Linked DNA regions of Oreochromis niloticus. The protein of the gene in region 4 interacts with the protein of the main gene of each other region in a pairwise test. Links are inferred from orthologs where the notes say so. Each region holds a gene or a part of one and is shown on either strand. Other genes may lie near its edges. The genes, in order: sparcl1, smc3, arih2 and disc1.

Region 1 (7,838 bases), on a different chromosome or scaffold from region 4:
GTGGAAAAGAGGTACCGCGGAGTGGTGAGACTAAGAAAAAACAGGAAAATTGTGGCCTGCAAAACCAATATAATCAGCAGAATCATTTTTTATAACTGAGGGTCACTGAGATTGCCCAGTAACTCTTTGTGTATTCTTGACTAAAGGCAAGAGATTATAAGTTATCTTAACCTTTGTAAGTTTAAAATAATGATAAGCAGGGTGCTGGTTTAGCTCAGTGGGTGAGCAGGTGACCATATGTCATATAGCTGGAGAGCAGTAGGCCCGGGTTTGAGTCTAAACTTGTCTTCCTCTCTTTCTCTCTCCCTGCTTTCCTGTCTTTCTATACTGTCTTTATCCAATGATGCCTAAAAGGCCAAAATAATAATAATGATAATCTACTGTAAAGAAAGAAAATATAGGTAATATAAGCATTACCCATTTTCCTGCCCTTCTCCTCTTTGTCTTTTGGTCTGTATTGTCAGTGCTGCTGCTCTCAGACTCAGGATCCTGTCGGCCCTCTTCTTGTCCGGGTTGTGTTTCCTCCCTGTCCGGAGAGTGCTTCCTTGACCTTTGGTTTTTCTTTTGCTTCCTCGTTTTCCCCTTAGTGTGACTTCCACCCACATTCTTACTCTTCTCTTCCTCCTTTCCAGATAGAGTGGCCCTCAATTCAAGCTCTGCATCGCCCTTTGGCTCTGGATGGTCCACATTTGCTTCAGGTTCTTTCTTGGCGCTTACGTCTTGGTCTGAGAAATCTTCGTCCTCTGTCTGATCAGACACCTCCTCGCTGTGTGCTGCCTCTGTGTTTTGCATGCCTTGTTCATAGTCATCAGTAATTTTGGCCATTTCTTTCCCACTGGTTTCTTTCTGTCTGATGTCCGTTTTTGAAGTAGGCTTGGTGTCATCTGAGTGGGTTTTGTCATTAGCCGATGCAGTCTGTAGAGGTTGTAGGAGGCTACTATCAGCAGCATAGTCCAGATCGACTGGAATCACTGATTCTGTGCTGCCATCTTCCTCTAGCAGTGCTTCAGTAGGCTCTTCCTTCCTTTCTGAATGGGTCATCTTCTGGACCTTCTCCTCTATCACATCTTCCACACTGTCTTCCTTCACTTCTTCCCCATCCAGCAAATGTTTCTTTGTCTCTGAATTCTCATCCAACTTCTCCTGATCCTCAGTGACCTCAACAACCTCACTAGACTCAACCTTGCGTTTGTCAGGCTCTACTTCTTCCTCCTCCAGCTCTCTTACTTCAGCTTCATCTTCCTCTTCAGCCTCTTTCGTCAGGAGGTCTACCAGTTCTTCTTCACTCAACAGAACTGCACTGCTTTTCTCTCGCTTTTCAGCCCTCTCTCCATCGTCCTTGTTAGCGTTGTCTTCGGAACTCAGTTCTTCGTCTTCCTGCTCCTGGCTGCTGGCCTCAAATGTGACTAAAGTGGGTAAGATCTTTGGCTTATTGGCTTCCTCTGTGATAGCATCCTTAATCAGGAGAAAAGGAAACATATTTACTGAATGTATAAAATTACACAATATATTTAGTATTAGAATTTAAAACTCTAGATGAAGAAGATGCTACTGTACCTTTTCTTTGGCTGTGTGCAAACTCTTATGCAAACCATGATGCTTTCCATGAGGTTTACTTTTCACCTGAAGATAATGAGAAAGATCTCTCTTTATTGTGTGGTGCACACATTATCATATTATGTTTTTGACAAGTTCTGTATTTGATCATTTTTGCTCATCAATTTAAGAAGAAGAATAACTTTGCTACTCACAGACAGAGCAAATGTTGCTGCCAGTAAGCAAAGGAATACTAAGCAGGCCCTCATACCTGTAAGATCAAAGTTAATCATTTAAACCTTGGATAAACTGTCTAAAAATGGATAACATGTAAGTTTTTAGATTTTGAAACCACCACAGAATTGAATATTTGAGAAAATTATTACACTAAAGGCTAAAAAGCTGTTCATGATCTATCAATACATTCTACTCTGGCTTCTCCATTTCCACAACAAAGATGTGAACTTGGCACATCTTTCAAAGTGGAAACAACTGAATGCATCTGTATGCTGCCAGCACATTCATGACGAGCAGAGCTGTGGGCCCAGCCTCCACTATCGCCAAGGTTACAGGCCTCTGATATGTGCCTCGCTCTCAAAAGTCACATTCAGAGCTAAAGTAAACACCAGAAGCTACCAGACTGGAAAAATTTGACTAAGTCCACAAACTTTTTGTGTCTCTGGAGCCCAACGACACAGACATTACTGGGTCTGTCTGGTAAAATAGTTCTCAGCACAGCTCTCAGACCTGAATGTAATGCAGGCGAGAGAGGGTGTACACACCAAAGTGATAAATTAGTCTTTATACTTTGAATAATTTAAAAGTTATCAGACACTACTATAACTACTCTATTACATGATTGCTACATCTTTAATAAAAATTTATAGACATTATAAAAACATTTAGATATGATATTTCTCTAAATTAAAATGCAACAAATTAGTACTTCCAAATATGGAGTGTATATTAACTAGTGCTACCACTTTCTACAAAAATAACAAAGCATCGCTTTCAAAAGCTCACCAGCATAAAATTGTGGCCCTAAGTAATCAAGCCAGCAGTTGCCACACACAGTTTAAATGCAGTAACTGAACAAGATGAATGTCAAACACACATCACTGTTTTGCTATATATAAATGGAGTTGCAAAGCACTATTAATTTTAGCTATTGTATTGTTTATTTTATTGCTGTAATTGTAATATGTGTGTCTGAAACAGGTCTGTCTTGTAAAGGAGACATTGAGCTTCAGTAGAACTACCTGCATAAATAAAGGTTAAATAAATGAGAAATGAAACTCTGTGTGTCTCGGGAATTAGAATTTTACCTGAGGCTGGCAGTCGCAAGAAAAATGAGTATCCCGCACAAACAGCAGAGCGTGCCTATGCTGAGCCTGTGAAGATGTCCTTTTGTATTCAAGACAGTGCACACTCTGTCCACACAAACCAAGCATGCAACACACACACAGAGACACACATACAGTTTTTTTTTCAGGGTTTAGGATGCCACTGCTAACTTTGGGAGGGCCTTTGGGCAACAGAGATAAAGAGAGAGGCAGACAAAGGGATCCCACTCCCACACTGAGCTTCTGTTGGGCGATCAACTTCAAAAAATATGCAGTGTGTCTGTTTCCCAAAAAATGACAATAAATTTTAAAAAGAACGCTCCAGGGTTCGTAACAGATTTTGACAGGTTTAATTTTTGTTACTGAAGATAAGCTCTTTAATTTGCATGCATGTATAGAGGAGTTCAGGAGAGAGGGACAACAGAGTCTACAGCCATCTGTTAAACACTACGGAAGCTCTGTTATGGTTTGGGCAGCATTTCAGCCAGTGGTGTTGGGGATTAATCTAATTAATCCAATTACAAGCACAGAAAAGTGCTGTCAGATTTCGACCTACTATCCAGTACCATCTGGTTCATTTTTCAGCAAATGATCCCAAAAACACTGCTGCAGTAAAAGCATATCTGTATACAAAAACACACTGTAGAACACTGAACATGTGGATTGTCCTCCTCAGATCCCAGACCTCAACATTATTGAAGCAGTGTTAGCTCATCCTGACAGAGAGCAGAACAAAAGGCAGCCAACATCATAGTACTCCAGGCTTCTTCTTCAAGAAGCCTGGAGTACTATTCCCGAAGACTGCTTGACGAAATGACAAGAAAGCTTGTCTAAGAGAGTTCAGGCCCTGTTGAGGACTAAAGAAGGTCAAACCAAAAATTGACTAAAACAGCATTTTAGAATTGTACAAAGTCTGTTTTTGCAAAGAGTTTATCATCTGCTGAAGAGAAGCACCAGTACAGGGCTTACCATGATGCTGATCCTGAGAGAAGGGTTTTATATTAGGGAAAACTGAGAGAAAATAATTTTCTGCTACTTCTTCTATGTTTCTACTAGTGTGTCCTGTCACTTATGTTACTTTGTTTGTCAGCTGTATTCATCCTTGATGACATCAGCCAACAGAAAACCCATTATCAAACTCAAACTTCAGATTTCCATATGAGTTAGACAGAAAACCTCAAATTTCGTATGAATAGACTCAATAAACCAGGGGTGGGGAACTCAGGGCCTCAAGGGCCGGTGCAAGTTTTAGATGTGTCCTGGATCCAACACAGCTGAATTAAATGGCTAAATTACCTGCTCTACATGTCTTGAAGTTCTCCAGAGGCCTGGTAATGAACAAATCATTTGATTCAGGTGTGTTGACCCAGGGTGAAATCTAAAACCTGCAGGACACTGGCCCTCGAGGCCTGGAGTCTCCCACCCCTGCAATAAAAAAACATGCTTGTTTAGATGTGTAGTATTTCTTCAGTGACACGTTGGTTTTTTGTTTGGTTTTTTTTTTGTATAGCACACCTGACAAAATAATGAATCAAACGTTTACTTTCATTTAAATAGTTCAACAATCATTGAAGTACTCATTAAGCTTTCTATTGAATGGATTTTGCACTCTTTGGGGTATGCTGTGGAAATAACTGGATTATTTAACAAAGAAGTGTAAGTATAACAAAAATGTACCCATGATAATGGATGGATAAGCCTCATAATGAACATAATTTCTGGTTACTGTTGTTTGTGAAAATTTGAAAAGTACTATGAGCAGGTTGTTTATGGCAGAATGAACCCAGTCCAAACCAACATGACCACATTGTTTTAGGACAGAAACAATACATAATTTTGGCCACTAGATGTCACAAAAACTAAAGTCTGTACTCTTAAAGAGGCTAAGAAACTGCAGTATGATGAGGGTAAATGATGAAAGTAGCAAGGACATGACAAAATCGCTCAGAAACTGCAGTTTTACCTTAATTAATTGATATTCAAAGAATCAACACACCAGCTTTAAACACAAGCCTCTTCAGTGAAAAAATACATTACTTTGTTAGACTGTTCATCAAAGCTGGGAAGCACAAGCTTTGATTTCTATTACAAAATGTTGTAAATCAATCAGTCAGTTCCACGAGGCATTTATGGAAAGATGTCATCTTATTTTATACAAGCTGAGTAAAACATGCACAATGTAGCATCAACATCATGATATCATGATGTTGTTTTTTGTAAAATCATATTTCACTATTCATCACTATCTTGCATTACTCCACTGTTTCCCCATAATTAGCAACCAATTCAAACATATTTAGGTAAAAAAAAGCAAAATAGAAGAAAATTATTACACTGCACGCAATCTCAAGGGTCACGCTGGTGTACTACCTCTAAATTAACAGTCTTACAAATGCCTAGTTTCAGTAAGAATATTAATACCACAGATGCATCAAATGCCTGGCTGACAAAGATAATTACATCATTAAACCTTAAGTAACGTTAGGGTGAACGTGCAGACACTGTTGACTGTCTGCGTATCACAACAAGCATCAATCATCTTCTCCTCCACTCCTCCCCTGTGGTTTTGGTGGATAGCGCTGGACTGGTGAACATTCAGTCTAATTACAGGTTTCTTTTGCTTAGCTGAAATCCAAAGTGAGGTTAAACAAGGAATTCTCTAAGCTTTTTTTGGGCCTGGCCATATAAGTATATCCAGGAAGCGATTATATGCCACAGGATGGAAATATATAGAAGCCTTTATTTGTACATACTGTACATGCTTAATGTTCCAAAAACACAATTTCCAATAACATCGTTTAGCAGTGAAGGCAAAATATGGTTTGTTTTTGTTTTAATAGACTGAATTAATATTGTACTTTGTCATAGTGTGCGTGTATATGTGTGGGGGTGTGTTAATCCACTTATGTGATGTTGCCACAAGTATTATGAAAGGCAGTGTTTAATTTTCTCAATTTAAACCAACTTTATATTGAAAACTTTATGCCCCTTGCACTTATACTACTTATGACCTGTTCCATATAATCCATCATCTGACAATAACAAAATTCCAAATAGAAAGGGAAGGAGGGGAAAAGGAAAAAAAAAGTTTCACCGGAAACAAGCATGAAACTGTCTAGCCCTCTTTTCCTCTCTGAGTGGGTGAGTTTATTTTTTTAACAGGCCACAAACCCTATAGTTTAGTTACCTAAATTATATTTCACTAAAGACGTGAGAGGGGGTGTAGGAAATTTGGTGACTGAATAAAAGAGCGCACAGTATGTGTGTATGTGTATGTGTGTGTACAATCATCATCACGCCACTGTGTGTTTTCTGAACTCCCTCTCCGGAACAAATACACCTTCGCATGACGACAAAAAAGACACGTCCGGAAGGAAGTGATGCAATCACCTTAAATGAGAATACTTATATACAGTAGTCCTTGGAGTTCCCTCCAGCATATCCACGCATCGTGCTTTTACTTCAACTACCAGCTTCCATTCGAGGTTCAGGACAGACTCCGGATTCTCCTTATAGACTGAACGAGGAGCACCAGCTGCATCTTTTTACATTACCTCTGAAACCAACTGAAGTAAGGTAAACAATTATGCATTATTATTATTATTATTATTACTTTTGATCACAATTCTTACTTTAGTGATAACACCTTTGAAAGTTTTGAATTGTCGCTTTGGTTTGTAGTAACTTAACATCTAGAAGCTTAAACCCAAGAGTAAATTGATGTGACCCTATTTTGGGGGGAGGTGTTTTTTGTTAATGCACCATAGTAGTTACTCTTAAACTGAACTGAACTTAAAGAGAATAATAATTTGATACTTATTTTAACAGAATGAAGGTTCCCATCATAACATTTTGCCTGATTGGAACAGTTTTTTCCAACCCGGTGAGTATGAAAGCAGAAAACAACAATAAATTATTAAAGCGGTCTAAAATTTGAAATATTTTTTCACCATAATTTTTTTTACATAACTTTCAGATAGACAAAATATCCTCCCGTCTAGCATGCTGTGTATTTTTGTTTATTTGAAAGAATTACTGAGGTTCAAGGACACAGTTAAAACATAAAAATAAATAATACTAGGTACAAATAAGCTTAATAATACTTGCTATTAGTAAAATAATAAGGTAACATGCATCTAAGGCATGTCATAACTATGTGTATTTTTAGAAATAATAATTTAAAAAAGTGTTGTCCTTTAAATAACCATGTTTTCCGTTTCCATTCTGACAGATTTTACACACTGTTGTTTCAGTATCAAGCGAGGTTGCATCAAACTCAGTAAGTAGCATTTTCAAATCACAAATAATTTTTTTAATAATTTTTTTCCAAATTCCAAATCACATTTGTATGGACCTTGTTTCTGCTACTGGGAAAGAGAGAGAGAAAAGAAAGTAAATAATTCCACCAATAATTTAAAGTTTAACTTAATAATTTAAAAATTCAAGTTTTTTCAGATGTTTGAATTAGTAAGTTTAAATTTTGGCAATGATTTTCTTTTAATACATTTGAGCTTCTATACATTTGAGTGTATTTCAGGAACTATACATAAACTACTAAACTATACAGTCTGCCTGAAGTAAAGCTGAATTCCTCGAACACAGTCAGCAGAAAAAGCTAACAATGGGCGTGGGTACTGGAAGTTTCTCCAGACCTCAAGATGATTCCCATTTCAGAAACTATTGTTTACTATACTTTATGTCTGCACCCATTCAGGCAGTAATAGCTTACCCAAGCAAGGGTTGACATGAATGAAATCTTAAATGAATGATGATTGTTGATGCTGCAGTTTTAGCATATAATTAAAATACATTCTTCTCCACCCTTACTTTGTTTTGTTTTTCCAGACTGAAAGTGTGTCTGTTTCACAATCGTCTGAAAATGACACCTCAGAGCTTCAGGTAATGTGTACATTTATTTCAGTAATGAGTAAATGGTTATTTTTCCTGACTCTTTCCATC
Region 2 (7,216 bases), on a different chromosome or scaffold from region 4:
GAATTAAAATCAACCAATCAATGTTTGTACAAAATGAAAGGTATTCAAAAGCATTTACCTGTCTCCTTCATGAGGGAAATACTCTCCTCTTTGCGTTCATCATATACTCGTGTCCCTGCCACCTCTCTCAGCAGCTTTAGACGCTGTGAGTCAGGTGCTGTGGCCATTTGGTTGATCTACACAAAACAGTAACATAAGGTAAATTTTCCAAATATCTGGTGTACCTCTGAGATATTCCTATCAGAAAATAAATGATAATGATAATGATAATGATTATAATTAATTAATGATTAAATGATTATCTTTTTTTTAATTAACATCAATTATTTAGTCTACTAATACTCTTAGTTTTTTGCAAAACAGACTAAGGTAAATAAATAGCGAGGACAACACTGTTTTACTGTCTGTTCAACTAGAAACACTCACCCAATGACCACTGCTTGAAGAATGCAATTCATTTCACATCACCCAAAACTACTGTGCATTAAAAAAAAAAGGAAAAAAAAAAGTGAGCCTGGCACTGCACTCCTCTCTCACCTTTCCCTGCTTGACAATGTAGTAGGGGTTACTCCGAGAGAAGCCAGCACTCTCCAAAAGGTTCATGACATCATTCTTACTGCAACAAGAAGAGTGCATAGAATAGATGGAATCACACATGCAGTAATTTTAACATGGCAAATTTAACATGGACAGCTGATCCCTCACAATACTTACGTCACCATCTTCTTGTCTAAAAAGTACTGGTCCTTCTTTGCTCCAATGACACGACGAAGGGAGACTTCCTCTTTGTCAATCTAGAAAGAGATGCATTTATCACTGGGCAAGCTGAGAGTCACACAGAGGAGGATAATTGGCAGGTTATGCCACAGTATTACCAGGCTACAACATTTCACAGACATCCGCCCTTCATCATCAGAATAAGAAGGACTGTGTGTACTGAAGGCAACGCAGTGCAATCAGTGGTCTTCATAACAGTTCTCACCAGGAGACTTCAATATTCAATATGACATGAACAACTTAAATTGGACTAAGGATGTTCACCATTTTAATACCCAAGATTAAGAGTCTTGTTACAAAAGAAAGCATAAAAGGGTTGATGTTGCTGGTTGTTTTGACTTTAGTTTATTGTGTTTTCCTTTTTTATTTTGAGGTTTACTTTGATACAAACCAATGTAAACAATAATGCAAATTTAATTGTGAAACAAATATCAGCACTGAAAAAAGGCTATATGATCATACACACGTTTAGCCACAAGCGGCTCAGTGACCGTTTATTTAACACATACACACATATTCCTTGAGAGGCCTATGTAAATGTTTAAATAATACCACAATGAAATCAAGCAGAAAATACAGTAATAGAATAAATTTGAAATGTTTGCCATTCCTACCGGCAGTCGGTTGTCAGAGTTGTCAAATATAATCTCCACAAAAGCCGAAATGACACGTGGACCAGTTCCCTCCTACAGTGACAGGGAGAGAGAGATTTTTTACACACAGGTTTTGGCATCTACCAAAGAGATTTTAGTCAAAGCTAAAGCAAAATCACCCGCACTGTGATAAAAGTTAATTTTTAAAAAACATTTTTGCCAATTGGCACAGGTAGAAAAATGCATAGATTTTGACTGAGAGTAATCTGTTATTTAGCAAGCATGCTTGCATTCATACCTTCCCACTAAAGGCTGATGTTCCCAGTAATGGGACTCACATTTTCCTGTACTTACATGGAGCAGGGCCAAGCGTTGTTCAGGTCGCAGGTGGCTGAATTCATCACTGAGCACAAACTGGATGGCTAAAAAAAAAAAGAGAGACGGAAGTTAAGTCTTAGATAACAACCAGCAATGTCACTGAAGTCTAAATGTTTGAATTCTATATTGCAGCAAGTTTTGAGGCTTCATACCATAGAAAAAGTTACTTTTTCCTGATCCATTCCTCCCAACTGTAAGATGAAGGGAAAAATAAACACAAAATGAGGATATGGTGACATATAGGACAAAGTATCCGAAAAACCTGATTAGCAACTCAGGTGCAATACAAAATAATTATGGAAAGATGTGGATGAACACATACCGATGACATTGTGCTTCGGGCTAAAGGGGTCTACCACAGTTTGGTCCCTGTAACTTCGGAACCCCTGAATGATCACCTGCACAGGGAACCAGAGACCACCGTGAACACACCGACTACAACATCAGCTGTTTCAGTGCAACATTTTAACCGCATACTATAGGTAAACATGGTCAAAGAGCTCCCGGGTCTATGAATATTTTTAAACATAAGATGTGTCAACTGTTTATGCTGAATAGCACCATCACAGGTAAAACGAGGCAACGGGGCCTTGGCTGATGGTCACTCTGATGGTCTACCGCTACTTTCATTCAGGACATTTTTGAAGGCTTGAAATCAACAATGCCAAGTTAGCCGACAACTATACAATAAACTCTCGTATTCTGCATCATATACAACATTACACGTTATAACAACAATGAAAAGAAGCATATAAATCAGAAAACCTAAGGCTGGCCTAGTTGCGTTAGCTTAGCATCTCGAGAAGGGGACGGGCAATTCACTTCTACACTAATTCAAATCGCGCTAGCTAACGTTAGCTAGATAGCTACACAACGTTTGCCATTTATGGAGTGCCTGTGCACAGTTTTGCAATCCAATCAACGTTACTTTGTGAAGTGAAGCCTCACTCAAAGTATAATAGCAATATATTTATCATTCAGTGGAAAAACGTTAAGCTGGCCTAATTCTTGTTATTAGACCAGTAACAGTCGGCAACACGTATCAGTCTGGTCTCGTTAGCTTACCTGTTTAATATACATGGCTGCTTATCCAGGGCGTCTCCTCTGCAAATTTGGAGATGAAACACTCCCTGCGCCAAGCTGGAGAAAACACAACTATAATAATCCAAACTTAACAATCAAACTGTTGCATTAAAAATCATAAAATACTGTAAGGCAGGAAAGAATAACATGGAAAATGGCGGCGGGGGCGGGATAGAATGGATGATACCAATTTGTGAAACCAGGTTGTAGGGATATCCTTGCACTATATTCCTACATGTGGGGAAGCTAAATAATTCATATGAAAGGTAAAAATTCAAATATAACAATAATATAATGTGTATCTACGGTTAGGTTATGTTTGCGACATAACATTAGGTCTTTTAATCTTGCTGTTTATTCGCCTCTCTGTTTGTTTAGTTGGTACAGTCTAGCAGGCTGCGCTCTGGGCGCCAAAATTGTTTTGATGAGCAGCAGTGGGAAATATAAGACTAAAAGCGGTAAAAAACAAAAACAAAAAAAATGACTGTGTTAATAATGATCAAAATTATTGTATTAATTATTATCAAAATTATTTATAGTGTCTTTAAATAACACAGTGCAGACAGTTTTGTAACAGTAATTTTGACTAATTATTTTCTAGGAGTTGATGTTTCAAAATTCAGATTAACATTGGTTTAAGTTTTCTATGAAAGCGACATGTTTCATCGCTTTCATAGATTATGCATAAAAAATACGGCTATGTGGAAGGCGACTATAGGTAAGAAACAGATGCAAGGCTTCTGATCTAAATTTACCTCTAGTCACAAGGGCCAGCTCTAAGCCACTGTAGGTGTCACTATTGCTTCTACTGCTGCATTTATGCCTGTCTAGACAGGATTTATTATCTAAACCCATAAATATTGGTCATTCCTTTGTCTTGTTTTTATGAAGAGGTTTATGTTGGCTTGCATGAAAAAGGGCACTTGCCAAATACACAATAAAAGATTACACGACAACAATGTTTTTGCAGTGAAAACATTTATTAAACACATATTTTTATCCACATTATTGAAAAAACAGACCATCATTTTCAAATAAATTAGGTTTAAATGCCTGACCATGTTTGTGAGTAGGCAAATGAATCACAATATCAACCTAAGGCATGTATATTGCAGTTTATCACTGTGCTGTGTTGTTTCATCACTGCAGTTCAGAAGACAGGAAAAAAGCATCAGTGTCTCTAGCCCATGGATTTCATAGGCTTCAAGTCCTATTATGAATACAGTTGTCTTTGACTCTTCTTTGTGTCTGTGGCTGATCTCCAGTCTATCTGCTCTGCCGTATTCAACACGAGGCACACAGAGAGAGCGTTGATTTTTATATTTTCAAGTAAGACTACAAGCAGTCACAGTTTATTTTAAGGCAGTGCAGTTATTGGGCTCAGTTTGAACTGGTGGTGGACTGGGGACTGCAGGCAAGAGGTAGGGAGGGTGAACACAGACGGCTCAAAGTTTTTGGTGTTAAAGGTAGTGGCAAAGTCATTGGCAAAAAAGGAAGCGGACTCCGAGACACAGGGCGTGGCCGGTTCAGGTGTGGCAGCATGAACCGGTGCATTGGACAGCACCTCGGACTCAAACTGAAGCAGCTGACCCATGAAACTGAAGTTTGGTGAGATGACTGCCCGGCGCTGCTTGATGATGTCGAAGGCTGCATCAAGCCGCAGCTGCTGGGTCCTCATGATGTAGGCCATGCAGATGGTGGGTGAGCGAGAGATGCCTGCTTCGCAGTGTACCAGGACCTTCCCCCCTGACTGCTTCACATGATCTGGAAGAAGAAGGGAGGATTCTGGTGAGACCGTGGCATATTTCTCTTTCTTTAATCATCGGCAAATTTGTCGCAGCATAAGAAAACCACGCATCAAACTGATTTCAAATCAGGAGTTTGGAACAGGAAATAAATTTAACTGGGCTATTGTCTAGTCGTTCACTCTCACTATATTACATAAACACTTTTCCCCAAATATTTTATCTCTCTTTCTTTCTCATGAACATCTAGTTTGCCATTTATTTTGTAGTACGAAATGAGCACACATCATTTGCTACTGTAAGTGGCACACACAGAGACACGTGGGAGGCTTGACTTAGTCACAGAGTGCAGCTGTACATGTGATTTGTTTTTCTGCTGCACCACTGTGGGGGGTGCTGGGTGCTGCTGTGGTGTTCGCTGTGGCACAGAGAAGTGTATTCTAATTTGGAGCCGCCTCGCTCCTACACACTCATCAGTATGTTTTAAGGCCTACACACGAGTTCACTTTCACACATCTGTCTAAATGTCCTTCGCAACACGTTTCAAGAATTCTTAGAAGCAAACACCCACATGTCTTCTTTTCTGTCTCGCATCTAAGTCTGATCTACATATTGACACTTAGTTCCACGAGCTGGTAACGACACCAACACATCACCTCGTCTACTAAACAGGGACATTAAGGGCCACTTCTGTGCGTTTATGAAGGAGAATGGCTGATTTCTGACTGCTCTGATTCTCGATAAAACCACATGAATGAATAATGAACCTTCATCTGGAGAGGAGGGCGCTATGAGAGCGGGGCAGCAGCAGCAGTGGGTGTTTTAATTACCGTCCTTTGGCTGGAGATGTCATGGCATGCTTCAGCAGCTGTTTTCATCCACGAGGTCAATAAAATTTATTTTCTCCTCTCTGGTTTACATCACCCGCTTGGTCGGAAGGGTTTCCGATTTATTGATTGATTTTATGAGACCAGCAGGCCAGAGGATCTGTTTGTACTGCGTGTCTAATCAGTTGGCATGCCTGATGAAATGCTGAGGCCCTCTTTGAATGTAGGCTAAAACTGCCTTATGTAATGGACAGGCTTATTCAAACACACCCTAAATGTAGGCTGCATCCCCAAACAATGCACAATACTATCCAGCTAATACGGGTCAGCCAAGCTGCTTGTGGGTGAGCTTTGTCCTTGGTTATGCCTGGATATAAATAGCCGCCAGCACATTTTGTACATCTTTTGCTGTTGCTGCTATTATCCGACACCTCTCTCCCTCCCACGCACTCTCTTTTCCTCTGTAACACATTTGCTGCCCTGTGGGCCACAGGTCCGCCAATGAGTCCCTCTTGCAAACAAAAAAACTGATGTCCTCCCTCATTGTGTAGCTGTCATTAATCCTCCACCCAACCATCATAAACAATGCTGTTGTGTATGCATGCACGTATGCCAGCCAGCCAGCCCCCAGCCTCCTCCACTCGGTCATTACTAAACACGTACAGCTCACCCAGTTGTCACACTGACTGGCCACACCCGGCACCGTGTGATTTGGCCTGGGAACCAACGACAGCATGGGATTGTCTTTTTCAAGGAAAGAAGGGAGGGAGGTCGGAAGGGAACGGGGGAAGTGAGCAAATCCTGAATGAAAGCAGACAGGCAGTATATGTTGGTGGGGGATTGAAGGCTGGCGATTAACTTAAACTGATTACAGCCGGATTTCTTATAGCCCTCTATTTGTGAATGGCAGCAGGTGAGCGGCAGCGATAAAGGGAGGCTATTTGAAGACAAAGACGCATTTCAAAAATAAATGCATCCATGTATAGATATCTCGCTCACTCAGGGTGGGTATTTTTGAGACTCCTTGGGGTGAAGCTGGATTATAAATACATTTAGACCGAGGCTGATCTTGTGGCCGGAAAAACATCCATCTAATGTTGGTCTATTTATTCCCTTTCCTAGCTGGTTTGAGTATTAGTGAGTCAGCTGTATTCTAAGATAGCAAAACATCTCAAGGCAAACCCTGTGAAGCAGAAATCAACAGTTAAATGCATTTACTATCCTCAACTCACCTATAAACTCTATTGCCTCCTGGAAGTGGGAGCTGATGTCGGCCATGTGGCTGTCCTCCACAGGGATCCACTTGTAGTCATAGTGGCCCTTGGCCGGCTGCAGGTCCCTGCGTGACACGTTGAGCAAGGCTGTGATATGAAGGTCGCTGAGATAATCCTGTCTGGAGGCATGGTAGGCACTACCGAGGTAGAGGAAAGGCAGGATCTCTACTGGTTTACCCTGAGGAAGGAAAAGAGGGAGAAAGCAGAGACATGAGTCAAGCTCACAAGACACAGCTTACTAAGGAAACATAACACGGGATCGCCAGCATTTATCCATCTGCTATGACACAACCATTGTCCAAGCAGGAACATCCAAACACCTGCCAGCCGATCATTACAGTCATTTGCAGACAAAATGGACGCAGGATGCTAGAGGAATTTCCCGGTATTGAAAGAGCCCATAATGCATCAACCAGACACAACAGAGTGCTCTTTGAAATCTAAACTAGCCACATGTTTTCTATTTAGCCAGTGGAAATAATAGCAGAAAGGTCAGGGATGAAAGGCTGTCTTTTCTATGGGGTGTCCTGATATCAGCT
Region 3 (7,454 bases), on a different chromosome or scaffold from region 4:
TCCCTTCGGGTGATCAAACTATGCAACGATAACACTCATAACACAGGCGAAGGGTGTTTCACCATTCTCTTCTTTACTTTTTACATTTTCATTTATGAGTCATAAATATGCAAGCTTGTTTGCACCACTGGGCCAGGCACAGCTAGGCCATCATTTCAGGTCATATCATAAGTTCAAGTTAAGCATCTCCCAGCTACAAATTTTGAGACAATGCCCCAAAGTTTCATTATCAGTGCTGGAAACAAGCTTCCATATTATAAACACCAATACGCATTGATAACTCCTACCTAATTCTAGCCACTAATATTGGACCTCCAGTATATCGGTTGGGGTCTAACACAGACAGATGCTTTATACAAACTGCATTTACTTTCTAAAACCGACACTGCACAGAACCTGACGTGTTGTTTTGGTTTTTTAAAAAAATATGGGCGAGAAGCCTGCGTTTGTTACTTCTTGAGAAAACGTGTGTCTTCGCCGTGTAATACAAAGTAATCCCCCCACTCTTGAACGGAAAATACACTGAGGATAACTAAAACAGTGACAGCACAAAGGCCCCTCTAGTAGGCTTATTTCGACATGTGATTTGTTCAACAGACACGGGATCAAAGACGACTGCTGGCACCGGTGTTCAAAATGTGACTTTGTAAATATCCACTGGACAGAAAACAAGGTTAGCCGGGAAAGCCTGCCAGTCGGCCCCGGCAGACAGACGAACGCTCGCATTCCGCCCGATCCAGGATAAAAATAGGCAGCAAACTGGGTGACACACATCTTGCTAGGCTAATGTATTACAGCGACTCAGCACAGGTTTGATAACAGGTCTTGTGGGAGGATGAGGGTAGCGGGGAGTCGAGATTAAATCACGCAAATAAGCACCCGGTCGTGCCTGGACTTCAGCGTTTCGGCTCAAAGCGCCTCTGAAGTTAAATCCACACAACAGCTGGCTAACTTACCGTTAGCTGGATTAGCTGGCTAGCGTGCTGGTATTTCTGTTGAGCAGAGGAAGTCACGCAATTGCAAACCCACGACTCGGACGAGTTACGACTGTTGAGCACCTTCATAACACACTTGCAAAAGTTTTCAAGGAACACTTTTAATATGTTCCCCCACTAGAATTGACAACATAAGAGCTAGCCAGGTAGCCACCCCTCCTCCCCATTCTCTTCCGCTGTGCCTCCGCCTCTCATCCACTCTAGTCCGGGGATCGAGATGTAAACAAGGGCCTCTGGAGAAGCTCGGGAGCAAAGAGGCACGTTTACACAACCGCTGCGTGAATTTCCACTGTTTAAAGTCGGTGGGGTTTACCTCTTAGTGCAGAGTCAAGCCAGCCCGCGGTGACAACCAGAGGCGAATTTGGAGTAAGGAAATCCTAAGAGCGATTTACACTCTTTTGCTTGGCTGGTAGGCGGAAGATAGACCGTTACAGGGGTACTTAACAGTGACGTCACGTCCGCGTTTCTCTCGCAGCCTTGCTCTCTCTCTCTCTGCAAGGAAAGATGCAGCACTTCTTGTTTTGTCCGGTAGTATTCAAGCACCAAATGTCTGCTTTGTTTTGTTTTGTTTTCTTCCAAACATACATCTGGTTAAATCCATGTTTTGATCAATATAATTTTCCTCGGATGTTTGACCTTCACTATGCAGAGAGATTGATTTATTGATTTCATGCTGCAAAGAGGATTCATTCTAAATTCAAATTTCTCAGGATACTGTAGCCTATGTCCACTGTATACAGTCTATGGTTTACACACATAGAAAATTCTCTCCCGGCATATTGCTCTTATAACGTGACACCTAAATCCCATCCAGGTTATAAAGATTGCATAAGTAACTGTATAGTCTGAGACTGTGTTTCCTTATGCCCGTTCAGTAATCTAAAAAATAGTTACCTTTAGAAACTTCATGTTTTACAAACGCGTACAAGATAAAAGTTCTCACACAGTGCAACATATTTACCTTCGTAATTGAGCCAGGTTGATAGAAAACTGGCAACTGCTCTTGTTATCAACCGGAGTACTTGTGATATTTCTCAGTATTTATTAACCATTTGTTGCAACTAGAAATTGCCTCTGTTAGCTATAAAGCACAAGCCTGTTTTACATTAATGCACGATCAATAATAATCTAATTAAATATTTTCCCACACGGAGTACTTATTTTTTTATTATTAGTGGTACTTTGGCGATGACACACGGGTTGCTTTTATCTATGTAACTGTAAGAAGGCTTTTACTTGCACCCGAGTACTTTACGATCCGAATACTTCCTCCACTGCTGTTAGCAAATGGGTTTTCAATTGAGTATCGTTGTGTTAAACGTGTTTCGAGTTTTACGCCCTTCTACAACCCCTACTGGCCGTGCAGCGGCAGTGCAGGAGTGTGTCTGTGTGTGTATATATTTTTTGAATGTATGTGCATATGTGTGCTGTTTATCCTGATCCTCGAATGTCACTTTATGAAATTCGATCCTTTCGTGCCAGTAACTCATCATCTTTGGTATCAAATACATCCTGGCATCATAAAGCTGCATTTCTAAATTGCTCCTGCTTTTGTTTCCATTCCTCCTAAAGCTGTAACTGCAGGCAGTCTAATGCAGCTCTTCAGCTAGACTGAAACATTACACTTACAGTTCTTTTGCTATGAAGGTATAGGAGTGATGGCTTGATAAACTATGCATTATCCTCTGCTGTGCTTCTCAGCAGTGCCTGAGAGAAGTCGAGGGCTAAGCCCCAGAGGGAAATGGTCTGGTAATAGGGTGGAATTGCTGAGGAAGAAGATGGATCTTCTAATGGAGCTGATGTTCAGTCAGCTGTTACTGCTGCAACATGACACATTTTACCTCTGCAGTTTACACTGATGTTGTCTTTACTTTTAAGGAATGCCTTGCACTCTACCTAAAAACCTCGTAAACAATCATTACCTTTTCATAAGAAAATGAGAGAAAGGCAAGCCAAAGTCAGGCCATCTTCTGGCAGTCCTTTTGTAGGTAAACACAGGCAGTTCACAGTGATCAAGACTCTGTGCCTAAATACAATTGAACCTTCAAGAACATAATTAATATGGGATTAGTAACACCTGTGTTTACTCACCATTTCAAGGTGGTTAATGGGGCAATCTTGATGATGTATAAAAGTGTCCAATTAACAAGTATAGATAGCAAAATCTATAAGAAAACTACAGCATTTTTTATTTCAAGATATTTGAACATTTATTACAAAAATAAATTTCATACAAGAACAATTGGCAATTTTTAAATGGTTTGACGACATGTAGTATGGAAAATCTACAATTACAAAAAAATTTTTTTCATCTCACAATTCTCACAATTTACAGTCAGGCATCTCAAAATTTCTATTTACCAACTCAAATTTAGAAGAAAATATGATCCTAAAATTTAAACTTGAAATTTTGACTTGTGGATGGTAATTTCTTTTCTGTCTTTTCTTCAGTTTCGGAAACAATTATATACAGCCAAAAGTTATAAAATGGTGACAAATATGTAAAACAGATGAGTGTAAAAGAAATACTGAATGCAAACAATGACAAAGAGAAGAGGAGATATAAGCAAACCTCCTGCTAAACAGGCAAAGAGGAAGTGAAGCACTGAAGATAAATCAAAAATGAAAGAACAGTTTTAGTGATTTTCAAGTTATACACTCATTAAAAACTGTCATATAGTCTGCATATACTTTGTTAGATGAGGAGTCTATATCCATAGAGTCAGATAGATCAACTTAAATGTGCACAGTGGTTGGTTCCTTACAATGGCTCTGTCAGATCTTTACACAATGTGAGTATTAAAACAAATCAGCTGACAAAAGTAAATCAACGGAATGACTTTCTTTTTTAAAAAAACAAAACATTTACATTGAGCCAGTAACAGAAGCTATGCTCTTATTTGGTCAGACCTGCAGGTTGGGGAAAAAACTGCCGACATGAATGTGATAAAACAGCAGCAGCTGACAGGAGCACAGATGCTGTGTGCTTATTTTTACTATTCTTTATAATTTGTAGTGTTAGCACCGGAGGTATTGTGTTTAATTGCCACACAAGCTATCTGTTCATGTCAGCATAAGCTCTAAACGCCAACATTAATGTGCCCAGCAGGTTCAAACCTGTCTGTACTGGTCAAAGTTTGAAGCACTGAATATTTAAACCTGATATCAGTGCCTAATACTCACTTCATACACATGAAGATGTGAAGGGCACTTCCACAGTCTCCATGACAACCTACACTGTTGCTGTACATATGCATGTTTTTTTTCCCCTCTTACTGTCATTTTGTATGTCCATGAAGTTCTCATATAAAAATCTTATAATACAGTGTACACCAAAATGGAGCTATGAACAGTGATGCTTTACGTCGTCACCTTCTCCTCGCTTCCCGTATTTCCTTTCCTTTCCTTCCAGCATTACTTCCAAAGGCTCCGGGGTATTTCAGTGACCCACGCAGTTTATCCTGCTTTGAAGTGAAGTGAACATCTTCCAAACTAAATGTTGCAAGAAGTCAGTGAAGTGCTTCTTTAACAGCATAATGGAATCAATCTTTGTTTTACAAAAACCTGAAGGTGGTCTCCAACATCACACTTTCTCAAAGGGGAATAAATGTTGCTCTTGACCCTTCTTCTCTCGTTTTGTTACCTTCTTCTTCTTCAGTCCGCCGGCATTTCCACCATCCTCCTCTGCTTGTCTGTTCTGAGGCCAGGACATTGCTAGAGTCTCGGATGCCGTCTTAGCTCCCGGACTTTCAACCTCAGCAGCCTCCTCATCTGAGGAAAACCCTTCGGCGTCACCTCCATGAGCAAGGCTCCCCAATCCCTGGTTCTTCTTGTTGTAACGCTTTTTAAGCCTTTCTCTGATCAGGAGTCCTTTCACCAGCAGAGTCCAGTTGGAGATGGCCCTCTTCTCTTTTTTCTAGATGTTGCAAGAAAAGAAAAAAATTAAGCCTGTTGCGTACAGATTTCTACTTGGAAGTAATAGCTGATACTTTATGTTAAAGTTCCCACCTAAACTACATAATCTGGTAATCTTACAGGCTTGTAATCAATAATTGTCAAATTAGTGATATGAAAGAACACACACACACACACACACACACACACACACACACACACACACACACACACACACACACACACACACACACACACACACACACCTCTTTCTCCTTCTGTTTCTGAAGCTCTTGTTCTTCCACCCACGCAGCTCTGAGGACCTCCTCGTGCTCCTCACATGCAATGTAGCCGTCAGTGCTGAAACACACACAAGTAAGCAAATATCCCCTTAGCTTTGACATGTTTGTAACAAGTGCATTTATTCCATTTCTTTCTAAACATGCTGACTTTGATCTTTTTATTTTAAACGCTGAAATGATTCCATGCAAATGCTAACAGACAGGGATTTTACCCAAAGCCAACTAATGAGATGAAAATAAGCTCGCTGGAAACAATACGGCTAAATTTGGAAAGCAACTAATTAAGCTTTCAAAAAAGCAACAACAAAAAAAAACACACAGTTGTGATTGAAATTTAAAGATACTGTTATCAGTATCTGCCTTCACAACTAAAACTGAGTGAGAGTAAGTAGAAAACAAACACAAACTGATTTTTAGGAAAATATTACGATTTAATGAGTCTGTCTAGGAATCGATAATGATGTGCATGGGTCAAAAAATGCATCAAACACAGGAGTCGACACGTCCTGTCACAATATGAGATTCTTTGAAAGTCCCTCAGTATTGTGAAATTCTAACTCTCAGTGCAGTTGCTCATCATGAGATTCTCCTGTATGATCGTATCCATCTGCTTAATTGTGTTTACACCCCACCGAAGGCTCCTTAGAGTCATCTTACACAGCGTGCGAGTATCCTCCATGGAAGTCGAAACCTGTGACTGCAGGCGCTGCGTCAATGTTCAGTTTCCTGGCCACGCGGTGCAGGTTGGGCAACCTGATATGAACACAGCCCACCGGCAACATACAGGGTTTAAACAGGTAGACATTACCGTAGTCATTACGTGGGACCTGAGGAAAACATACAAAAACACAATGACACTGACACTTTATCCTGTTGGTTCTTATGCTGCTCATAAAACTTTGTTTCGCTTAATCTTCTGAATGTGATGCTCAAGCCCACACACACAGATACCTTCCCATCCACGGCTATCGGCGGCTGGTACTCTTCAGTTTGCCATTCTCCAAACAGAGCCAGGTCATTCTCATCCTTCAGCTCAGACATCATCCTGGCCTTACGGGAACGATTAGAGAAGCCCTTCACCATCTGAAAGGAAAAGACGTGTTTATATTGTGAGTTCATAAAGTCACCAAAGCATTTCGTGTTTCCACATTATCTGTGTGTCTATTCAGTACGATCTAGCTGAAAAAGCAGCCTCAGTCTGTTATGATTCCCCCTTCCTGTCACCTTGACGATGCCGTTGATCGAATTGATCCAATTAAGCCGAACTAGGATTTAATAGCATCAGTGCTACAAGAAGAATTCAATACATCTGCACTCAGCAGAACATCAATAACAGGAAAGGAAAGGTTTGCAAGATTTTACACCTTATATCATTTCATAATTACATCAGTCGCTCTTCAAGACAAATATATCCGTAGCAATAACAGTTTATTCATGGGGTCAGGTTTAAGATCTGGGAGCAATATTGGTAGCATTCCATCAATTCCATATTATTAGTCCTTGTCCATGTATGCTTTATTCCTGTTGCCCACTTTTCATCAGTATGTCCTGGTTCCCAAACGCCTGATGTGGACCTTGTTAAGCTGGGCAATGTCTGAGCCGGTATGGCTTTGGCTCTATGGCTACGTTCACACTGCAGGTCTTAATGCTCAATTCCGATTTTTTGATCAAATCCGATTTTTTTGTCTGCTTGTTCACACTACACATAAAATGCGACATCAAACGCTCTCCAGTGTGAACGCTCAAAGCGGCCCGCATGCGCAAAGGAAGATGTCACACACAACGCGCTCTGTTTAGACCCAGAGCAAACAATATTGTTTGACTGATTGCTCTTAATATAAAGACTTCGGACTTTATGTTTCCAGATTTTTGCTTTAAGTTATTTTGTTATTTACATAATAATGTAGATGACCTAATAATGATCCTTTTTGCTGTTTTAGAGGAGCGGTGCTTCAAAGGATAGTTGCAGATTTCTGTCAGAATCTGCAGAAAATACAGTAAAAATAAAATGTTCACATTTCTCCAACGTTGTCTTCCCAACAGTTTCACCGGATGGTAGGAAATCGTTCGCGATGTCCTATCGGGCACTTCTCCGGCGCTGATAATTGGCGTCTGTCTTGTGTCAGTGACGTAAAAGACGGATTTAATGCGACTTGACTGTTCACACAGCAGTCACTTTCTAAAACATCGGATACGTATTGGATTCAGTACCACATACGAAAGTGACCCAGATCGGATTTGAAAATATCGGATTTGTGCCGTT
Region 4 (7,439 bases):
GGAGGCGGAGGTACTGTCCGAGTCCAGGGAGAGTGAGGAGGTGACCTCTATATCAACAGACTGGGCCTCACAGTCGGGCACGTGGGATCTTTCTACGTGGGCGGCAAACAGGCATTCTCGCCAAAACTTTCCTCCAGGTAGTGTTTGAGCAGGAGACGACTGCTTAGGGAAATTGTGCTCGACAGGTAAGGTTTCAGGTTTTGTCTGAGGCAGGTCAGATGCTTTTGTTGATGAACTTAGTTCTTGTTCTTGTGTGGGTGTGGCGGTTGTTTTCTGGCTGGAGGTAAGTGACTGTTGGATGAAACTGAAGCTGGAGTTAAAAGAGTCCTCTGGCTCTGAATGAGTGTCCAGGCTCGAACTTAACCTGAGTTCATTGTGGGGCAGTGAGGACTGGCCCAGATGGCTGGATGTACTCTTAGAATTGCAGTTCACAGGGGAAGGAGGGTGGGTAACAGAGCAGACAAAGCTCTGAGTCTTCCAGGAGCTACACGTGTGTTTATCAGGCTGTTGATGATTTATTAAAGACACACTGTCTGCAGCAGCTGGACTTGGCCTTTGAGCATTAGTTGCATCATCTATATCAGCGTCACATCCTGATTTTCCATTGGTAATAAAAGTGGCTGTCCCAACATCCTCCTCCTCTTCCTGAGTGGCGCTCTGCAGTCTGCACTGCTCTCCTCTCATGTACCCTGGTCTTCGGTGGAGCCTCTTACGGCTGGAGCTGCCAGCTGTCCCTGATGCTCTGCCACCTGTCGATGCAGAGATTAACCATTAAGCTTGACAACATGGCCATGAGGAAGATAACGCATGACCTCATAGAACTGGTAGGATTAACCATGTAATCATCAGCTACAGCAGGAAGATGTAATGCTACATGTGCTAATTACACAAGTACCCGAAGCAGCTGTGATCCAGCAAAATGACCTTGTTCTTTAAAGATAGTGCCTAATGGACTGAATTAAAAAAGTTGGGCAGATGTGTGACATTTCCCAGGGTTCTGCTCCAGCTGTTGGGAAATACCAAAGCTGCACAGTCATTTATAAGTTAAGACATTCCTCTCTGTGGGATACCAGATGCATGAACAATATATTCTGAGGTTAGATTTGCATTTTTTTATTTTTGCAAATAGCAAAATTCTTCAGAGGGCAGGTTCTCAAAGCATAGCAGGGGGCTCACACCTGGATCTGGAGCCTTAAATCGGTCTATTTCACTGAAATATAGGGCAAAGGGCACACAGGCAATGTCTGATTCATGTTGGTCCACTAACAAACCGGCACTGATGATGCTATTGTTTTTATAACCATTCAGCTTCTCTCTTTTTCTTAAAGCAATAAGGCTGATAGAGTTTAACTGAGATCTATTTCTGACGGGGTGCTAAAACCTGTGAGTCTTCCAGCCAAAGCAATGAACTGAAGGATGTGGAAAACACCTTTGTTTAAAACAATACTGATTAGCCTCGCTTTATCAAACCCACTTGGACTGCACTCACAGAAGAGGTGGCTTGTCTCAAAACTTTTCAGTTATTACGAAATCCATGTTTTTTGTAAAGGGGGCGTAACCGAAATAGCTTGTGAAGCACAGACACTGCCAATCTTAGTATCAAGAAGTGATACAAACATGCATGCAAACAGCGTTTGGTCTGAAAGTGGAGCGTAATGATAAAGACCAGATTGTGATGGGAGTCAGACACCTGCTGCAGGGCCACGTGATTAATACATATCATGTTTAGGATTCAGACGAGGAGGCGCGCTCAAACGCTGGGGATCAACAGCCCCTTTGTGTACAGCTGCGCTGCTCCTTCTTTCACTTCTGGCTCTTGCTTTCTCCTCCCACTCACGAACACTGAAGTCACACAGAGGCACACTGACAGTGCTGAAAACACTGGGATCAGTTGTACTATTGTCAGTGTAAAAGCCTGTTAAACGCTTTAACTACGATAAAAACAAATCCAAAAGTAGAAAACGCAAACAAACACATAAAAACAACATCTTACACAACTGTAAACCTCTACAAATAATGTGTTTTTTGCAGTGGGAGCACAATTATCAAGACAGGAATGCGGGGCATTGAACAAAGCATGACCGATGAGCAAACCACAGCCCACTTCCCAACACCCAGTAACCTCGACGATGCCACTCCTAAACTATCCCATGAGACTGTAAGAGACTCAAATAGAGACCAGTGATAGCAGTATTTCAAGTGAGAGTAACACAGGGATGCTCCCATTGTAGACACAGTGTTTTTCTGTTTGTGCGTGTGTGTGTGTGCCACTTAGAGCTTTCTGTCCACTGGGACCGAAGCTTGGGTTACACACAGGTCCATTAGAGGGTCCTTGCAGACGTGGCCACTGGTCCATAACTGATGTAAGAAACCCAACACTATCTGTGGGTTACAGCTACAACCGCACACTGTCTACCATCTGGTGTGGCTAGATGTTATACTAAGCCTTCTATCAAGAACTAAGCAGTCAAAAGAAGAGGGACGTTACTGTATCCTCGCCATACTTCGATTACACAAAGAGAGCTCTTCCCGGTTTAAGGGGAAGGAAATGCCTCGGGGCCTATTGTTTTGTGTCTGCTGGCTTGTGTGTGTGTCAGAGGGGCATCTATTTTTTGGCTGAACCCCCTCAGAGGTATTTTCTACTTCCTGTCGGGCTTTGAGCTAAAATAGTTCGCCAGGAATTCAGGCAGAAAATACAAACAAGCAAGCAGTGACGTTCTGTGGTTCAACACCAAAGATAAAACAGTCCCTCTGCCACAATGACAGCATTCTCACTGTAGCATGTTATCAGTGCTGAAGAAACTGTGCAGAGAGCCTGAGAAAAAGAAGCATGTCAGCCAGAAGAGGCGAGATTATTTACCTTTGGAGATTAAAGAGGCCCTCCTCAGCACCCTTAGGTTAAACACTGCATCCAGTTGGGCACTGAAAGTGCTTGAGCCAAAGACAGAGAGGAATGCAGGGGATCTCATAAAAACACAAACATTTGAGGAACAAGCTCAGCACCCTCTGACACACACACACACACACAACACACACACACACAAGCGGATCTGCATGTCAGCAACCTCCTGAGAAGCAGCACTGCTCGGCAGATGTGCGAAACCTCGCCACTTGTGACCAAACAGAGCGTCACAAAAAGGGGAAGTGAAAGTTAGCAGTGATATCTATTCATCTTACTAAAGAAATGACTACATAAGTGGATGAAAACCCAACAATACAGTATGCTCCAATGCCAAGTCCTATCTTTGGTCCTAAATCTTGGCCCTTATCTCTCCATTTTGCACGGTAGGTTAAAGGGTGGGGATATTCCAAGGATTGCGTCTCTGCTATGCTCTTGTCAGACTGTAATCACATGAGGATCAGTTGAGTCTGTGTTATAGAGATTCATTTACACACTGCACGTACTCTTTAATAGACATTTTGATATTTTTTGTAGATTAGATTCATTCAAAAATGTCACACAACAGAAACCAGAGACCAGGGAAAAATCTACTCACAGCAGAAGCTGTTTCGAAAGCACTTTGGGAAATAGATTTTTATCTAAGGTTTGCCACATCTAGCAGCCTTTTAACTGCAGCAGTTACCCTGTTGCATGTAGCGAGATCATAACAGTCTGATAAATGGGTCTAATGGAGGTCTGATTACCGGCATCCTGCATGAACAGACTTGGATCACATTTCTATTTATTAGTTAAGCCCATTTTATTTGTGTAAAACATGTTAAAAGACCCAAATAGAGACAATATCCAGGAAAATGCTTCTCTACTTTGTCTAAAGAGGTGAGGAACATATTATTTAAGTATTTAATCATTTCCAACTCATCATCTATCATTACTCATCCAAGAGTGACTGGTAGGGAGACTTTAAACCTTTATGATCCAGGGAACTGTGAACTTTCATACACATTCCGGGCAATGCATTATTAAACAGGCTATGAGTCTTCACTGCGGCTGTTCTGCTTTTGTTTAATCATCTGATGATTATCCCTCCCTAAAAACTGCCGGCTTAGTACATCCTAATATTACTATTTTATCCAATTTCGGTGTATTAAAGTTGTATGTAGTTCCTGGGGGGTATATATATCCTGTAAAAGACCAGTGTTAGTGTGAGAACATCAGCTGATAGTTAAAAATCTTGTGTTTTACCTTGAATGGCTTCGCGGCGGTGAAGTAGAGAGTTGCTGTGGCATTCCAGTCCCATCAGTCCAGCGAACATTTTTCCATTAAAAAAAAGGCTGTTTGTGTTGAAAAGTCAAAGAAAGTCAGACCCCGGTGGCACAAGCCTGCATAGAGTTACATCGACCATGTTTTAGAAGAAGTGGAGCCAGGCAAAGGGACTGATCTCATTTCCGTTATGGAAAAGTGAACCCGGGCTGCTATATTTTCACTGCACACAGTGAGTGACGGGTGAAAACGGCTTCCCAGCGCGCTGTTTTGTCCCTGATGAAAATTTCTTGACACAAACATTTATGGTACATCAGATTCTTACATTTCTCCCCCCTGTTGGAAAAAAGTGGGTCCCGCTGCGCCTGAACTGACGGTCTGGAGAAAGAAGATGGACTTCACGTCGTGCTGTTCCTTGTGGGAAAAGTATGGAAAACACAACCAGCGGTGGTGTGCAGTGGCAGAAGTACAGAGCCCAGGCAAATCTGTCTGTTAGTCGACACATCGATCAGTTGATCAGTAATCCGTTAGTCGCTGCGCCCTTGCGTCATGCGTCGCGTTGGAGCTCTTACGTGTTCAGGAATTTGACTCCAGACTCCTTCAGACCGCCTCATAACCACAGCGGGCACACTGTGGAAGTAGCAGCGGACACGGAACCGGATTAAACAACGCTGTTGTTTATCTTTATGTTTATATGTGCTGTATTTTAGTGTCACTGAAGATTGTGGAGGAAATTTATGGGGGGAAAAAACACCTCTCTACTATTAAGTCACAAATACTATTAAGTTCAAATTTATACACACAGGAAGCGTGTGATTCAGTCATTTAAATCACAGTATAGCAGGTCTTTACTCCCTTACACATCTTAATGTGTTTCTTTCTTTCGGCAGTGAGCACCAAACCCTAGACCTCACATAGCGCAGTCTTTTCATCCACCCCTTCACACACCACTCATCCCAGTTCTCCTTTCATTCAGCTCGCCTGGCTCATGAACAATACTCAGAGACAAAAAGCTCTGTTCTACAGACAGAATGCAGGACTTACACGCAGCTAGGGTAAGAGCAGGGATGAAACACGTCGCCTGGCATGCAGAGTGCCATCACCTGCTCTCTGTTAAAGATTAGAGGCCCTTAATGCATTTTTGACATCAGCGCACTGCCCCACAGGCTGGCTGGTTTCCAGGAGAAGCCCTTTGACTAACCTCTCAAGTTTTAGTTTTTGGCTTACCTCTGTGCCACTGCATCTAAAAGGACAGGGCACATTTGTGATGACTTGTTTTAAGACATAAGAAACACCATATTATGTGAAAAACCCAGAAAGAAGATGCTAAAATTACACACGGTGTCTATGAGGGAGCAGATGAAACGTATAAAAATGATGTAATCACATCTGTTCTATGTATGAGGGCATTTATGAAATAATTAAGCAGTCAGGAAAAGAGTGATTGCAAGGATAAAAGATGAATTAATCAAAGGATAAACACGTAGTTGTTGACTAATAGCACATTAGTTCCTGCTCTGTTAGGTTTAGCTTGCTCTTTCCCTTCATCAGCTATGCATTCAATGCATCCATCAAATGCATTTTTACAGTGCCGTAGCTGTGTTGCTGACTTTGACCAGCAGATGTCAGACTTCACACAGATATAATATATTAGTTTATCAACTACAATAAGTTAAGAAGCAACTTTTTTTCTTTACATTTCCCAAAAGTGTGTGTACACGTTTTTACTTTTACATCAAACCTTTACACGTTTACATCCAACTTTGATTTCATACATAACCACAACCATATGCTACGTGTTTCCTGATTTAGTCGTATTCACAAAATATTCATTTGATGCATCATATAAATAGATTTTATGTCACTGTATACACAAATATATAGTATCACATTTAAATAGTCTAATTGTGGATTTCACAGCATTCTTTTCTCCTAATAAAAAAGCCCATGCCAGTTTTTTGACTTTCTCCTTTATATGGAACCAGGAAGTTTTTAAGCATGACCACGAGAGTAGTCATTTGATCCCAGCCAAAGGTCTGAATCATTGTAAGTTTTATAGCACTTACTGACAAAGATGTTAAGAGTGGTTTCTGGTCTGCCATAGTCCAGATAGTAGACTTACAGCAAATCTCTGGATTAGAGTTGTTCCAGGATTTATTTATTCATTTGTTTATTTATATAAATGGGGCGCTAAAGTCCGAACAACCATTTTAGGTTAAAAAAAAAATAACTTAAAAAATTCAGTGCGTTGCACTGATTATAATGTGCACAGGCCTCCTATGTAATAACTACATACAGTAGGAGACGTAGTTGCCTGTTGCACAAATTAGGAGGAGACGTAGTAACCCAGTAATAATATAATAGCTGGACTTAAGCACAAGATGGAACCACTGTGATATATTATAGTTATAGTTGTACAAAGTAAAGCAGTTAGGAATAGTAAGTAGCGGACTGAGGTTCATACAAATACCCATGCAGTCAAACATTCACTGCATGTAGTATTATTTATATTTAGATAGTTATATATTCACAGTGAAGCAGAGGACCTTTATTTCTACAGGAAAATGGGGAGTTAGGCCCCCTTATCATCGCCTGCTATAATTTCCGGTCCCACCTTTAACCCCCTCTTTAACCTCTGGCTGCTGATCATCTCCTTTGTAAATGGATGGCTTGGCTTTGGAGTGTAAAAGGAGGCCAAAACTTTATTTTCTCTCTACATGTATCTGTTTGCATACATAGTTCTGAAATTGCCCAGCAGATGGCAGACCTAAATTATTTGGACTCTCTCTATTACAGTCATAAAAAGGGACAAACTTATACCACATCAAAATGATCTAGTTCATATCAATACAAAATAGTTACTTAATTACAAATAGCCTAAATTGTTTTTACAAAATATAATTTGTCATAGTTTTGTTTTTTTCTAATATATGCGAGATCAAAATGTGATATGTATACAGACCTAAAGGTGACTAATGTGAATCATAAAATAACATTTCCTCTGAGGTGAAATCTGGCAATAAAATTGTTTTGGCCCCATCGTGAATAAAGGCATCTATTTTCAACGACAGACTATGCTATCATTATTTTCTTAGCATGGAGGCTCATTTGTCACCGTACAATAACAAACACCATGAGGTGAAGCATGATATCAGCACTCTACCAGGAATATTCCTCCTCTCGTTCCAAATCTAGGACAAGGGGTTGTTTGTGAGTATGTGTGTGTGTGTCTGCTGGAGAATAGGGGTGTGCAATGTGCAAAGGTCACATGTTCCTC

Evidence for each region.
Region 1: the proteins of disc1 (region 4) and sparcl1 interact in a two-hybrid assay, tested with the Homo sapiens proteins (2 studies listed by BioGRID and IntAct). The link is inferred for Oreochromis niloticus from reciprocal best matches to the Homo sapiens genes DISC1 and SPARCL1.
Region 2: the proteins of disc1 (region 4) and smc3 interact in a two-hybrid assay, tested with the Homo sapiens proteins (2 studies listed by BioGRID and IntAct). The link is inferred for Oreochromis niloticus from reciprocal best matches to the Homo sapiens genes DISC1 and SMC3.
Region 3: the proteins of disc1 (region 4) and arih2 interact in a two-hybrid assay, tested with the Homo sapiens proteins (2 studies listed by BioGRID and IntAct). The link is inferred for Oreochromis niloticus from reciprocal best matches to the Homo sapiens genes DISC1 and ARIH2.

Annotation. Positions count from the first base shown.
Region 1 is NC_031971.2:19,486,317-19,494,154, reverse strand, and holds the start of sparcl1 (SPARC-like protein 1), read right to left. Parts: upstream 3,009-7,838; 5' UTR 2,862-3,008; intron 1,808-2,861; 5' UTR 1,806-1,807; coding exon 1,752-1,805; intron 1,624-1,751; coding exon 1,558-1,623; intron 1,456-1,557; coding exon 418-1,455; intron 1-417. Other genes in the region: scpp1 (secretory calcium-binding phosphoprotein 1), read left to right, coding at 6,709-6,762, 7,111-7,158, 7,725-7,778.
Region 2 is NC_031971.2:30,160,578-30,167,793, forward strand, and holds the start of smc3 (structural maintenance of chromosomes protein 3), read right to left. Parts: upstream 3,017-7,216; 5' UTR 2,829-3,016; coding exon 2,814-2,828; intron 2,147-2,813; coding exon 2,071-2,146; intron 1,940-2,070; coding exon 1,901-1,939; intron 1,793-1,900; coding exon 1,725-1,792; intron 1,464-1,724; coding exon 1,392-1,463; intron 795-1,391; coding exon 715-794; intron 617-714; coding exon 538-616; intron 177-537; coding exon 59-176; intron 1-58. Other genes in the region: dusp5 (dual specificity protein phosphatase 5), read right to left, coding at 4,189-4,595, 6,636-6,855. UniProt on the Homo sapiens protein: Central component of cohesin, a complex required for chromosome cohesion during the cell cycle. The cohesin complex may form a large proteinaceous ring within which sister chromatids can be trapped.
Region 3 is NC_031984.2:25,584,396-25,591,849, forward strand, and holds the start of arih2 (E3 ubiquitin-protein ligase ARIH2), read right to left. Parts: upstream 3,019-7,454; 5' UTR 2,918-3,018; intron 1,467-2,917; exon of another isoform or gene 1,309-1,466; intron 1,232-1,308; exon of another isoform or gene 957-1,231; intron 1-956. Other genes in the region: xpc (DNA repair protein complementing XP-C cells), read right to left, coding at 4,579-4,911, 5,156-5,249, 5,849-6,018, 6,143-6,274.
Region 4 is NC_031978.2:23,847,432-23,854,870, reverse strand, and holds the start of disc1 (disrupted in schizophrenia 1 protein), read right to left. Parts: upstream 3,012-7,439; 5' UTR 2,970-3,011; coding exon 2,861-2,969; intron 750-2,860; coding exon 1-749. UniProt on the Homo sapiens protein: Involved in the regulation of multiple aspects of embryonic and adult neurogenesis. Required for neural progenitor proliferation in the ventrical/subventrical zone during embryonic brain development and in the adult dentate gyrus of the hippocampus.